2 linked regions of the Danio rerio genome follow. The protein of the gene in region 2 purifies or fractionates together with the protein of the main gene of each other region. This does not show direct contact. Links are inferred from orthologs where the notes say so. Each region holds a gene or a part of one and is shown on either strand. Other genes may lie near its edges.

Region 1 (5,786 bases), on a different chromosome or scaffold from region 2:
TGAATAAATGCTTTAGAACAGTGGTCTCAATCTCAATTCCTGGAGGGCCGCAGCTCTGCATACTTTAGCTCCAACCACCTCCAACTCACACCTGCTTAATAGCCTCTAGAGCTGTTTATTAATATGCATTCTTCAGTGATCTTGCGTGCAGAGAACGGAGGATGTGTGAAGGTTCCCAGATGTGTTCTTGGTATCGAGGGCACATCAATGGAGACTTGAGTGTAAAACTCGTTTGAGAAGTCCCAGACGTCATTGAAGCTGAATAAAGGAGGCGGGAAGTACAGCATTTAATATAGATTTATGATTAAAGTTCAGAGATATAACTTATTTGTCTCAGGAGTTTGCCTAAATTCACGGAGATGGTGAAAGTAAACATAAACATGAAAATCTTTATAAAGGCATAAACACATTAAGGGTGTTTAATTGCTGAAATTCATATTAAAGTCTATTTTTTGTATTGTGTAGAGTATATTTAAGTTTGTAAGGTTTTTGTGCATGTTTTTATACATTGAAAATGCGAGAGAGAAAAAATCAGTGGATATATACTGTTATGTTTAAATAATTTCCCGTTAAAAATGAGTGAAGGTCATGTGACTATTGGGAAGAGCGCATGCATCTCACTTCTCAGAGGACGCGTTCTGTGTCCTCACGACCTCCCTAGTTTGTTCTACGGAGGTGACCTGGCAAGACTGGTCTTCACAAGAACACAGGGCCATTCTCTGCCTTTTTGCAATTTAGAAAAAGCCTACTAGTCTTAAACACCTTGATTAGTTGGATCATCTGTGTTTGATTAAGGTTGGAGCAAAACTGTGAAGAGCTGCGGCCCACCAGGAGTCCAGTTTGAGACCTATGCTTTAGTTTAGAACATAAATTTTTCATGCTAACCAGAATAACTAACTTATGTTAACAAAACATAAATAGAAAATACCTGTAAGGTTGTAAATAAATCAAAGAGTATTAATATCATTTTATCAGTATATATAATCACATGCTCAACTGTAGTTTTCAATCAGTTGAATGGTTGGAATGTGCCAGTTGCAGGAATATTGTGCTGACAAAGAGTTGAGTATATGATCAATGAGATTCTACTAAACAAACTGTTTAAACCAATGATTAAAGACAATGCTTCATCATCTGTTTGTATGCCTGTAAAAAAAAGGCCTCCAAGGACTGCCATTTGAGCAACCAGAATTGATCATCTTGTGTTTTTCTTCTTTATTGTTCCCTTTCTGCAAGAACATTACATCTTTGAAAATGAATCTTCCTGGGTCTTTTAGGGGACATTACCTATAATGTGTTTTCTACACAGTATTTCAATGCATTGACATTAATGTAGGTTGAAGCACTAAAGAGAAATGAAATAAATATTTTGAATAAAAAGCAATAAAAATGGCAAAACTACCAATTCAAAAAATAACAATTGCATATTAATAATATAAATTAGTACGATGCCGGTGCAATGTGACATGAATATGACCACCATCATTCAATAGTCTGAAATAATGATATGCAGGGTCAAACGTGTGGAAGTGATTTAGGAAATCGATGAAAGCTCGTGTTTGTGAAAATAATGTAAATAAATACGTCCTGCAACACAATTGCTGGCATAGTTTATAGTACAATACATTTTACAATTGAATGCTGCATACAGAAAATGATAAACAGAAAGTAATGTACCTCCACTCAGTGTGTGCTGTCACAGGGCGCAGACATATTGCGAACACGGCACTGAATTGTCCCTGTGATATTTGAGGTCTAAAATTCCACACGACTTAAACTATTTTGATTAATACACAGCTAAATGTCAAATCCAAAAGCTGTAAGCAACGAAAGCCACATTACAGTCGATATTTCTTCCTTATCACCATACAAGTTCTCGAAGCGTCCTCTGTTTCCGACCGGAGCGTTTTTAGGTGAACACTTAGAGACTGCGTCTCAAATGCTCATACGCTGTCCGCGTAGACAACAGAAATTAGCTAGTGGCGCTTCGCTTTCCAAAACCACAACTACGACTTCTCACAATCATATCTAGCTAGTCAGCTGACTAGTTTTTGAAGCACAGCCAACCTCTCGAACTGGTCCGTCCGCAAACACGTCCTTCCTTAGGAGTGATTAGACTGCTGCAAATTCATCTCATGCATTCATCAGAGATTCATAAAGCGACCACCTCGACATTTTGACACCACCAGCCGACGGCCGAAGTTGTTATTTCCTAAAATCCCAAAACCGAAACCAGGCATTTGTCTATTAAAGGCTATCGAGCGCCGCTGAAAGGTTTTTTCGGGCTTCATCAGTGCGATGGCGGAGGTTCCAGGTACATCGAGTGAGACGATAACGGAGACCGTTCAGACGGGCACACCGCCTCCACCCCAGCAGGTACTGTGTGCCCTAGTTACGGTAGACACCATCACTAAGCAGACGCATAGCAAGTCATTCAGGCCACAGGACTCAGACTAGCAGTCCTAAGCTCTTGTGGTTGATATAATTTACGTTGGTTGTTTAAAATGGACTGTCTAGATACCAGCCATAAGGCCTGTTTTGTAATCAGCGTATTCAGCAGGGTTTATGTGTGCTGACTGGTTTGGAAGTGTGTTGTGATTACAGGTTGACCCACAACATGACAAAAATACAACCGGGTAAATGTATCCTTATTGACATTTACTGTATATGCCATGGTAGTTTTGGTTGCACGATTTTTATGGTTTTGCTTTAAAATGAATTAAAATAGTGGAAAGATTAAATAATGAATAATATTTTTCCACATTTTTATTTAGTTTAATGATATATGAAAACATGACATAAACGGTATACATATTAAAACCTAAATAAAAAAATACAAATATTACTTGATCTAAAATGAAAATTAATATAAAATATAGAGCTGGGAGATATGGCAAAAAGGTATTTTTATTTTTCATATTAATCGATATCGATAATTATTATGATAAATGTTAAATCTTTATATCTATCAATATTAAAGGACTTTCAGCATGCCAATCCCTTTGTGCAGCTGATTTAACATATTTTGTGAAATGTTTTTGCTGTCTGACAATATAAATAAAAATAATAATAAAGAAAAGAACAAACTAACTACTTTTCAACATTTACTGTTCAAGTTTCAGCAACCAAAGACATTACCTACAAGTTACTGTATATTATTGTTCAACATCAGGAAAAAGTAATACCCGTTTGGAACAAGTAAAAGGTGATTTAAGGGTGATAGAATTTACAGTTTTGGATGACCTGTCTTTTTAATGGTGAGGATGGTGAATTTAGAGTGAAATATCCTTTAATTTATGTTATTTAGGGATGCTAACGATTACTTGATGATCTATTGATTGTCAATAACCCTTTAGTCGATAGACCTTATTGATGACTGATTAAGCATGGACAACATTTAATTTCTTTTTTTTGTACTCCTCCATGTGCAGCTAACACTGTAAGGCTGTAAAGTTGTACTATGTGTGGCATCCGGATGTGCAGGCTGCAAAATGCTTGCGCAGTGTTATACATAGTGTATAAACATTATCAAACACTTATCGAACTGTCATTATCGTTTTATCAAAAAAAAAAAAAAAAAAAAAAAAAAAAATATATATATATATATATATATATATATATATATATATATATATATATATATATATATATATATATTGTGATAATTATCGTTATCAAATTATTGCCCAGCTCTAATATAATATATAATTTATAGTATAATTATATATTTATAAATGTATATAGTTTTATATATAAATCCCAGATTTTTAAATAAAATTTGACCATTTAAACACATGAAAATAGTTACTGGTAAGGCTGCACACAATATCATTTCAGCATCGATATTGCAATGTGCAAGTCCGCAGGAGTCACATCACAGGGATTTGCAATGTAATGGGGATTATAGTTGACCAGATTTTACAGTTAACTTCATAGCAGAGTAATTTCATATTTTGACCTTAGTGGAAGTTTATTATTTGCATGTATTTTTAAGAACTGACTAAATCTGAAGCAATCTTAAGCTACTTGGGCACAACAAATGGAACATTTGTAGCTTAAAGTTTAGTTGTACATCATTTACCCAATTTAAAAAAAACAGTGTTATTAATATTAATATTCGGTTATTATTATTATTACACAATGATTATTTAATTTCTGCTTCTAAATATTGTTTCACTTCCCAGAAAATCATAAATCATTATTTATTTGCTACTTTTCTCTGCTGTATTTAATATTGCTTGTTTTTTTTTTTATATTTTAAGCAGAGTCATCCCAGTCAATCTAAAATGATCAATTGTTTACAAGCTATTCAAGTCATCTTCTGAAACCGCATTTATATTGCAATATATATCACAGTCAATAAAAAAAAGCCAGTTTTTTCCATGCTGCCCTAGTTACTGTTTCTTTTTACATGGGATTATAAGGATTTTGTTGTGGTTATTTATAACTATTACTATATTTGTATTTATTTCTTCCTTATTTAATTATTTAGTTAAAATAAATTTCAGAAATAAAATATCATGAAATAAACTGCTACAATATGGTTATGGTTTTACTGTAATTTAAGCTAGGGCTGGGCAATTAATCAAGAAGTAATCGACTTTTAAAGCCTATAATCGTTAAAATTTTTTTAGGTAAATTTTTACAGTTACGTACCATGATCTGTTAGGTTGATTTATACTTCTGCGTCGAACGCACAGGTATGTCTTGGCGCAGCCTTCGAGCAGTTGCATACCTGCGCACCACTTGAAAAATTTAACTACACACATCGCACCTTTGCATTACATTGTTGATGATTGGAAGCTGCGCCAGAGATGCCTTCAGACGGCATATTCTCTATTACAGTAAAATTATTATTTACAATAAAATATTTGTTTACAGAAGATTCAGGAAATGCACAGTTTAAAATATTATTTACAGGATATACAAGTTATTTTATTGAGAAGAGATCCTGCTTATTTTCTACTTTTAATATAAAAAGAACACTGAGAATAAATTATTTTGTTTCCAAAAGTTATTTATTTTCACTGTTTTATAAGACAAAACTGACTGTTGGTTTTAGGCAATGTGTGTTTTAATTTCAGTTGTTCATCGTTGATGTTCAGTAAATAGTAGACTGTATTTCCTTCAATTATTTTAAAATCAAAAAATGCATCCTTCTTTAAAAAATCTATCACTTGTAATATGTGAGAATATTTACTGTACATAACCTGTTTGTGAACTATGAGGGCAAAATAAATAAATAAACCAATAAAATGATCATTCATTATTTGTAACTGAGAAAAAATTATCAAATTATTGAGGTTTTGATTTTAGGCCAAATCGCCCAGCCATAGTTTATGTAGAAAATAGTATTTTCATGTTATGTGTCTAACACAAATGTGCACCTTTTTAACCACCAAGCTTGTCGACACTATTATAACGACACAGATCACTCTGCCTATTCATGCCAGAGTCCCACTAAAAAAGTGATTGACAGGTGGTAATTAGTGTAACTTATCTTTATTTATTCATGATTTGGTTATGGGTAAAACAATAAATATGTGGGTCAGGTAATTGAAACAGTAGGCTACAAAAAATTAATTCTTACATAATTAATTCACCGCTGACTACGATGATGATGCCATCGTCCATCGCAGTGTTTTACATTAGTCATTGTACAATGCCAAATTGATCGATATCGCTCAACTCTAATACGGGTTAATATGAATGCAGGTAAATTTGTTTTACAGTGACACAGTAGTTATGTAGTTGTTTTTAGGCCGAACTCTTGTTTGCTATGAAAA
Region 2 (5,974 bases):
CCTTCTAAGGCAGCATTTCAAGGCGGGAAGAAATCAAGGCACTTCCAAATCTAAATTCTGCTTCACTTCTTGTCTCAGGAGGTACTATGCTATGATCAAATTCTGAAGGCAGCATAAATATGTCCTTTGCTCCCTTCAATATCCCACAGTCCTGTGCGTTCCATTACTGACAGTCAAAATAAAGATGGCATCTCGAAGTTTAAATGAACATTTTTGACTTTTGATGGTATTTCTAGTGTTGAGTTGGTATTGTAGTAAGCAAATATTCCAAAAATCACCAAAGCTCTTTCTGTTTTGTTGTACATGCTTAAATCATTATGTCTAAAGTCTGAAATCTAAAGTCTGAGAGGTGCTTTAATGCTCAAACAGTGCATCCATAGTCAATGTAAAAAATTGCTGTCAAATTTACAGTATTACTGGAGTTTTCATTGCCAGTAATGCTGTCAAGTTTACTAGTGCACTGTACATAAGCAATTAGAAATGTGCAGTAAAACTGCAGCAGTTGTAATTTACAACCATAATTGCCAGTAATACTGTAAATTTTACAGCATTTTTTAAAGTGTAGTGAAGCAACAAGTCTTATCTAAGCTTTCGGACGCAGCCAATCAGTAGTGGAAAAATGAATCCTATGATGTTGCCATGTTGACGAAAACATTACCCCTTTTTAATGGCCTCCAAGAACTCTTGGTTTTCCTCTTGGGTGTAACTGCGCAAGTCTTCGTCATTCAGCGTGAAGCCATTTTTCCACAGTCTCACCACAATCTCAACCTGAAAATATCAACCATAAAACAGCATAAGAATGCACTTGAAAATGCATTCATTTGTTCATCTAATTATTAAATTAACATTGAAAATTCATTTATTTATTTTCCTTCTGCTTATTTATCAGTGGTCACCACAGTGTAATGAACTGCCAACTATTCCAGCATATGTTTTACGCAGCGGATGCCCTTCCAGTACTATACAGTCCTAGGGTCTGTTCTTGGTAGGTGGATTACTCAGTTAGCTGGATTTGGATATCGACATGATCCATGAACTCATCGAAGACTTGTCATAGCAACAGTTCTGGTAGCTCAAACCTCACCTTAGCTAACCCAGGTGTGCCTGATAGGGGTGGGAACTAAACTTTGCAGGACACCGGCCCTGCAGGACCGAGTTTGGACATGCCTGCTTAAAACCATTAATATATTTTAAGTTTAGTGAACCATCCCTTTAACTCAACATACCGCATACATTTTAGGTCACCTCTTGTACAAGATGTCTCAGTGATTTGTCTCACCTTTTTACCACTACTGGCAACACTGCTGATCTTCTCCACCTCATCGAGCAGGTCCTCGACGGAGAAACTGGATCTAATAGGGCTTGCCTCTTCATCCTCCTCCTCCTCCTCTTCCTCATTTTGTGCACCTTCACACCTGAAGGCTCATGAAGGCAGCAAAGTGTGATTCCTTTTACATTACTCCAATGCTAAATATACAATAATGGAAGAAATGACACACTCATGATACAATTTCCAGGCACAGAGCTGCGAACGGCGGCCTTACCATGTGTCATCTTCATGCCTTTCTCTTGAATCAATATTTTTCATCATAACGTCTTCTGTTGTCCATCTTGCAACACAGACATATGTGGGCATATATAAGTTATAAGGGCTGGTGCAAGCCAATGTAACCACTGCATCAGTGTTTCTTGAATAATACATGGAGCAGGACTTTCTTTGTGTGACTGACAAGTGCAGTGAGATCTGAAATTCTCAAAACATCGATCTGCTTTCAGGCCTCTACAGTAAATCTAATAGAGTTATATTAAATTACTAATATTACTCTAAATATCAACTGTATTTAAAGGGAGGGTTCACCAAAAAGAAAAATTTACACGCCATTTACTCAGTCAAGCGGTGAACTTTTAAGAGTGTCCTTTTTCTGTTTGAACACAAAAGGAGATGTTTTGAAAAATGTTATAAATCTTTAACCATTGACTTCAATAGTAGGAAAAACAAATACTATGGAAATCAATGGTTGCATTTTTCAAAATAACTTATTTTGTGTTCAACAGAACAAAGAAGGTTTGTGACAACAAGTGAAGCTTGAGTAAATGATGACAGAAATTTTAATTTTGGTTGAACTATCTATTTAATCCAATGTATAGTTCTCCGAATATTGAATTGTTCTACTTAAAACGTACACTATTAAAAAGAATAAACATTGATATATCCCATAAAATAAACAATATATTTTAGAAAGAGTAGATATTTTGGACATGTGCCATAAAAAGTACCATCATGCATATTATGTGTACAAAGATATTTTATCAGTGTTACACTACTTGACAAAAGTGTTGTAGTCAATCCCAGTTGTAAGAGCAGCAAATAATAACTTGACTTCTAGTTGCTCAGTTGGAAAAGTGGCAGAAGGTCTTTTTTTATGTATCATCTGTTGATCTGCATCCCAATCCTCATAAATACTGCAGAAGACCTACTGGAACCTGCATGGACCCAAGATTCTTACAGAAATCAGTCAAGTTTGGTAAAGGAAAAAAATCATGGTTTGGGGTTAATTCAGTATGGGGGGGTGCGAGAGATCTGCAGAGTGGATGGCAACATCAACAGCCTGAGGTATCAAGACATTTGTGCTGCCCATTACATTACAAGGCACAGGAGAGGGCAAATTCTTCAGCAGGATAGCGCTCCTTCTCATACTTCAAATTCATGGAGTCAAACACAATATTAATTATTTTCCCACTGCACTAAGACTTTACATTCTATACTGTACATTATTTCTAAGTGACAGACTTTAGTCTAAGCAAAGTCAGACCTTATTGTCCTAACTAAATAACTAAAATCAAGGCATGACCATATTTTATTTTGGTAAAATAAGTGTAATCTAGAGGCCTTTGCTTTTCATATAAGCCACTTCTGATACCAAATGATCAAATAGGAATCAAGTTATTATTTGTTGCTCCTAAAGCTTGGATAGGCGACAAGACTTTTGTCAGGTAGTGCACAGTTAATGATCAATACTTAACAGAGATGAACAGTTTGTTACTGAACGGTGACGTCAAGACGCACTGACAATACATGACGCTATCATGTGTTATAATAATCTCGGGTTATTTAAGCGACTGTTTAAATGTCCGGCTGTGATGGCAGCAACATGCAAGCTTTAAGCTTTCTATTCATAGCCAGTGAAACAAACAGGTCAAAAGCAGCATATTAAATGAAAGCAGTGCGCCAAAATTACGTAAGAACAGTGTGGAGACCACGCAAGCGCACTGCGATCCGTTATGACAACAAACAAGCTCTAAACACATCGCCTCTGATTAGCAGACTAACAATTATGATGATAGAAACATTGATGGTTACCAGTGTAAGGCTTCAAATGTGTCGTAAAACTGTCCTTTCAGCTCGTAAGTTTCTCTCGTTTGTCATGCCGCTCCTTACACAGCAGCAGTCCACCATTCTTATGACGTCTCCGTCGGACGACGTAACGTTGGCGCGTACGTCGCTATGACTTCATCGAGATCAAAATAATATACTTAAATGTTTTATTTGCTTCTCGTTTTAATTATTAGGAGTTTATTTACTGCATGCGTGTTAATAAATGTAAGCGCGCGTGTGTGTTTGTGTTGTGTTGTGGAGAGTGACAGATGGTGACCGCAGTAAGCAGTGCAGAATCAAAGTAACCAACACTGTGTGCAGATTAAAGCTGCCGAAGCGATTATTAATACCACACATAACCTGACCCTAGTGTCCAACATATATCAGGCCTGCTGGCAATAAAGTCATCTTCGAAAATGATTTTTAATAGCTATAAAAGGCTTTTTAAACACCCAAGAACGTGAGCAGCTAGCCAATCACAAAAGTTTGATGAAGCTCTCTGCCAATGGCGTGAGTTTGGGGCGGAGCTGTAGCCTTTTTAGCAATGATCATTATTGTTGTAGTTCCGTTTGTTGCCTCTAGTGTCCCTTTGTAGTTCCAATTTCGGGTACACTGTCGTCATAAAGGGATGGACATTAGCAACAAATACTCAGGTAGCCGTTGATACGATGCTCAATTGGTACTAACGGGCCCAAAGCGTGCCAAAGAAATATCCCCCACACCATTACACCACCAGCAGCAGCCTGAACAGTTGATACAAGGCAGGATGGATCCATGCTGTCATGTTGTTGATGCCAAATTCTGACCCTACCATCCGAATGTCGCAGCCGAAATCAAGACTTATCAGACCAGGCAACATTTTTCCAATCTTCTATTGTAGAATTTTGGTGAGCCTGTTTGAAATGTAGCCTCAGTTTCCTGTTCTTAACTGACAGGAGAGGCACCCGGTGTGTTCTTCTGCTGCTGTAGCCCATCCACCTCAAGGTTGGATGTGTTATGCGTTCAGAAATGCTCTTCTGCAGACCTCGGTTGTAAAGAGTGGTTATTCGAGTTACTGTTGCCTTTCTATCTGCTGGAACCAGTCTGGCCATTCTCCTCTGACTTCTGGCATCAACAAGGCATTTGTGCACACAGAACTCCCACTCACTGGATATTTTCTTTTTTTTTGGACCATTCTCTGTAAACCCTAGAGACGGTTGTGCGTGAAAATCCCAGTAGATCAGCAGTTTCTAAAACACTCAGACCAGCTCGTCTGGCACCAACAACCATGCCACGTTCAAAGTCACTTAAATCACCTTTCTTGCCCATTCTGGTGCTTGGTTTGAACTGCAGCATGATCATGTCTACATGCCTAAATGCATTGTGTTGCTGCAATGTGATTGGCTGAAATTTTCCTTAACGAGCAGTTGGACAGGTGTACCTAATAAAGTGGCCGGTTAGTGTAATTTGTCAAATCCAACACAACTTACTTATTCTTTTTTTTTTACAATTATTTTTAGGGGTTTTCACCTTTAATGGATAGGATAGTAGAGATTATTGACAGGAAAGCATGGGGAGCAGAGAGAGGGGAAGGATTGGCATAGGCCCACGAGGCGGGAATCAAACTCGGGTCACCGTGAGCACCGGAGTGCATGTGTCAACACACTAACCACTACACCACTGGCACCGACACAACTTACTTATTCTGACATGTGCATATTAAAATATATGAAAAATAAAATATGTGAAAATAATAAGTAATCATACATATTTTGTTGTATTTGATGACAGCAAAATACAAATGTTTTGAAGGATAGTGGCAAAGATTTAAAACCTACAAATATTATTTTGGTGCTGCAATGTGATGCTTAAAATTGAGGTTTTATATTCACACATTCAAACTTTCTCTTCAATAATATAGTTTCAGTAAAGTAGTGTTTGCAAATTCGAAATATTGAAAGCATTGCAGCCAATGACAATAAAAGACCAGGATTGTTCACAGTCAGTTAAACAGAGCTAATGTTGTTTTGAAGTTACATGTGATTTCAGGCTGAATATTCAAAGTACTATGGTAAACAATTCAGGGAGTGTGTAAAAAAATGTCACTGAACCAATGTGCAAATTTAAAACCAACTTTACCTCAATGCTTAAATAGTCTTATCAATATATCCTTACATGATTCTTGTTTAAAATATGCCTGACAAATATTGGTATATGAACTATATTTTCGGTGAGGCAGTGGCGCAGTAGGTAGTGCTGTCGCCTCACAGCAATAATGTCGCTGGGTCGCTGGTTCGAACATCAGCTCAGTTGGCGTTTCTGTGTGGAGTTTGCATGTTCTCCCTACGTTTGCATGGGTTTCCTCCGGGTGCTCCGGTTTCCCCCACAGTTCAAAGACATGCGGTACAGGTGAATTGGGTAGGCTAAATTGTCCGTAGTGTATGAGTGTGTGTGTGAATGTGTGTGTGAATGTTTCCCAGAGATGGGTTGCAGCTGGAAGGGCATCCGCTGCGTAAAAACTTGCTGGATAAGTTGGCGGTTCATTCCGCTGTGGCGACACCCGGATTAATAAAGGGACTAAGCCGACAAGAAAATGAATGAATGAATGAACTATATTTA

The links.
Region 1: the proteins of ubxn2a (region 2) and ppp1r11 purify together in Homo sapiens (affinity purification with mass spectrometry; 3 studies listed by BioGRID and IntAct, counting the BioPlex papers as one, with this or other methods). This does not show direct contact. The link is inferred for Danio rerio from reciprocal best matches to the Homo sapiens genes UBXN2A and PPP1R11.

Annotation. Positions count from the first base shown.
Region 1 is NC_133194.1:29,863,519-29,869,304, forward strand, and holds the start of ppp1r11 (E3 ubiquitin-protein ligase PPP1R11), read left to right. Parts: upstream 1-1,937; 5' UTR 1,938-2,298; coding exon 2,299-2,376; intron 2,377-5,786. UniProt on the Homo sapiens protein: Atypical E3 ubiquitin-protein ligase which ubiquitinates TLR2 at 'Lys-754' leading to its degradation by the proteasome.
Region 2 is NC_133195.1:47,885,561-47,891,534, forward strand, and holds the start of ubxn2a (UBX domain-containing protein 2A), read right to left. Parts: upstream 3,480-5,974; 5' UTR 3,362-3,479; intron 1,611-3,361; 5' UTR 1,592-1,610; coding exon 1,545-1,591; intron 1,423-1,544; coding exon of another isoform or gene 1,416-1,422; coding exon 1,280-1,415; intron 769-1,279; coding exon 659-768; intron 1-658. UniProt on the Homo sapiens protein: Acts to repress the ubiquitination and subsequent endoplasmic reticulum-associated degradation of CHRNA3 by the STUB1-VCP-UBXN2A complex in cortical neurons.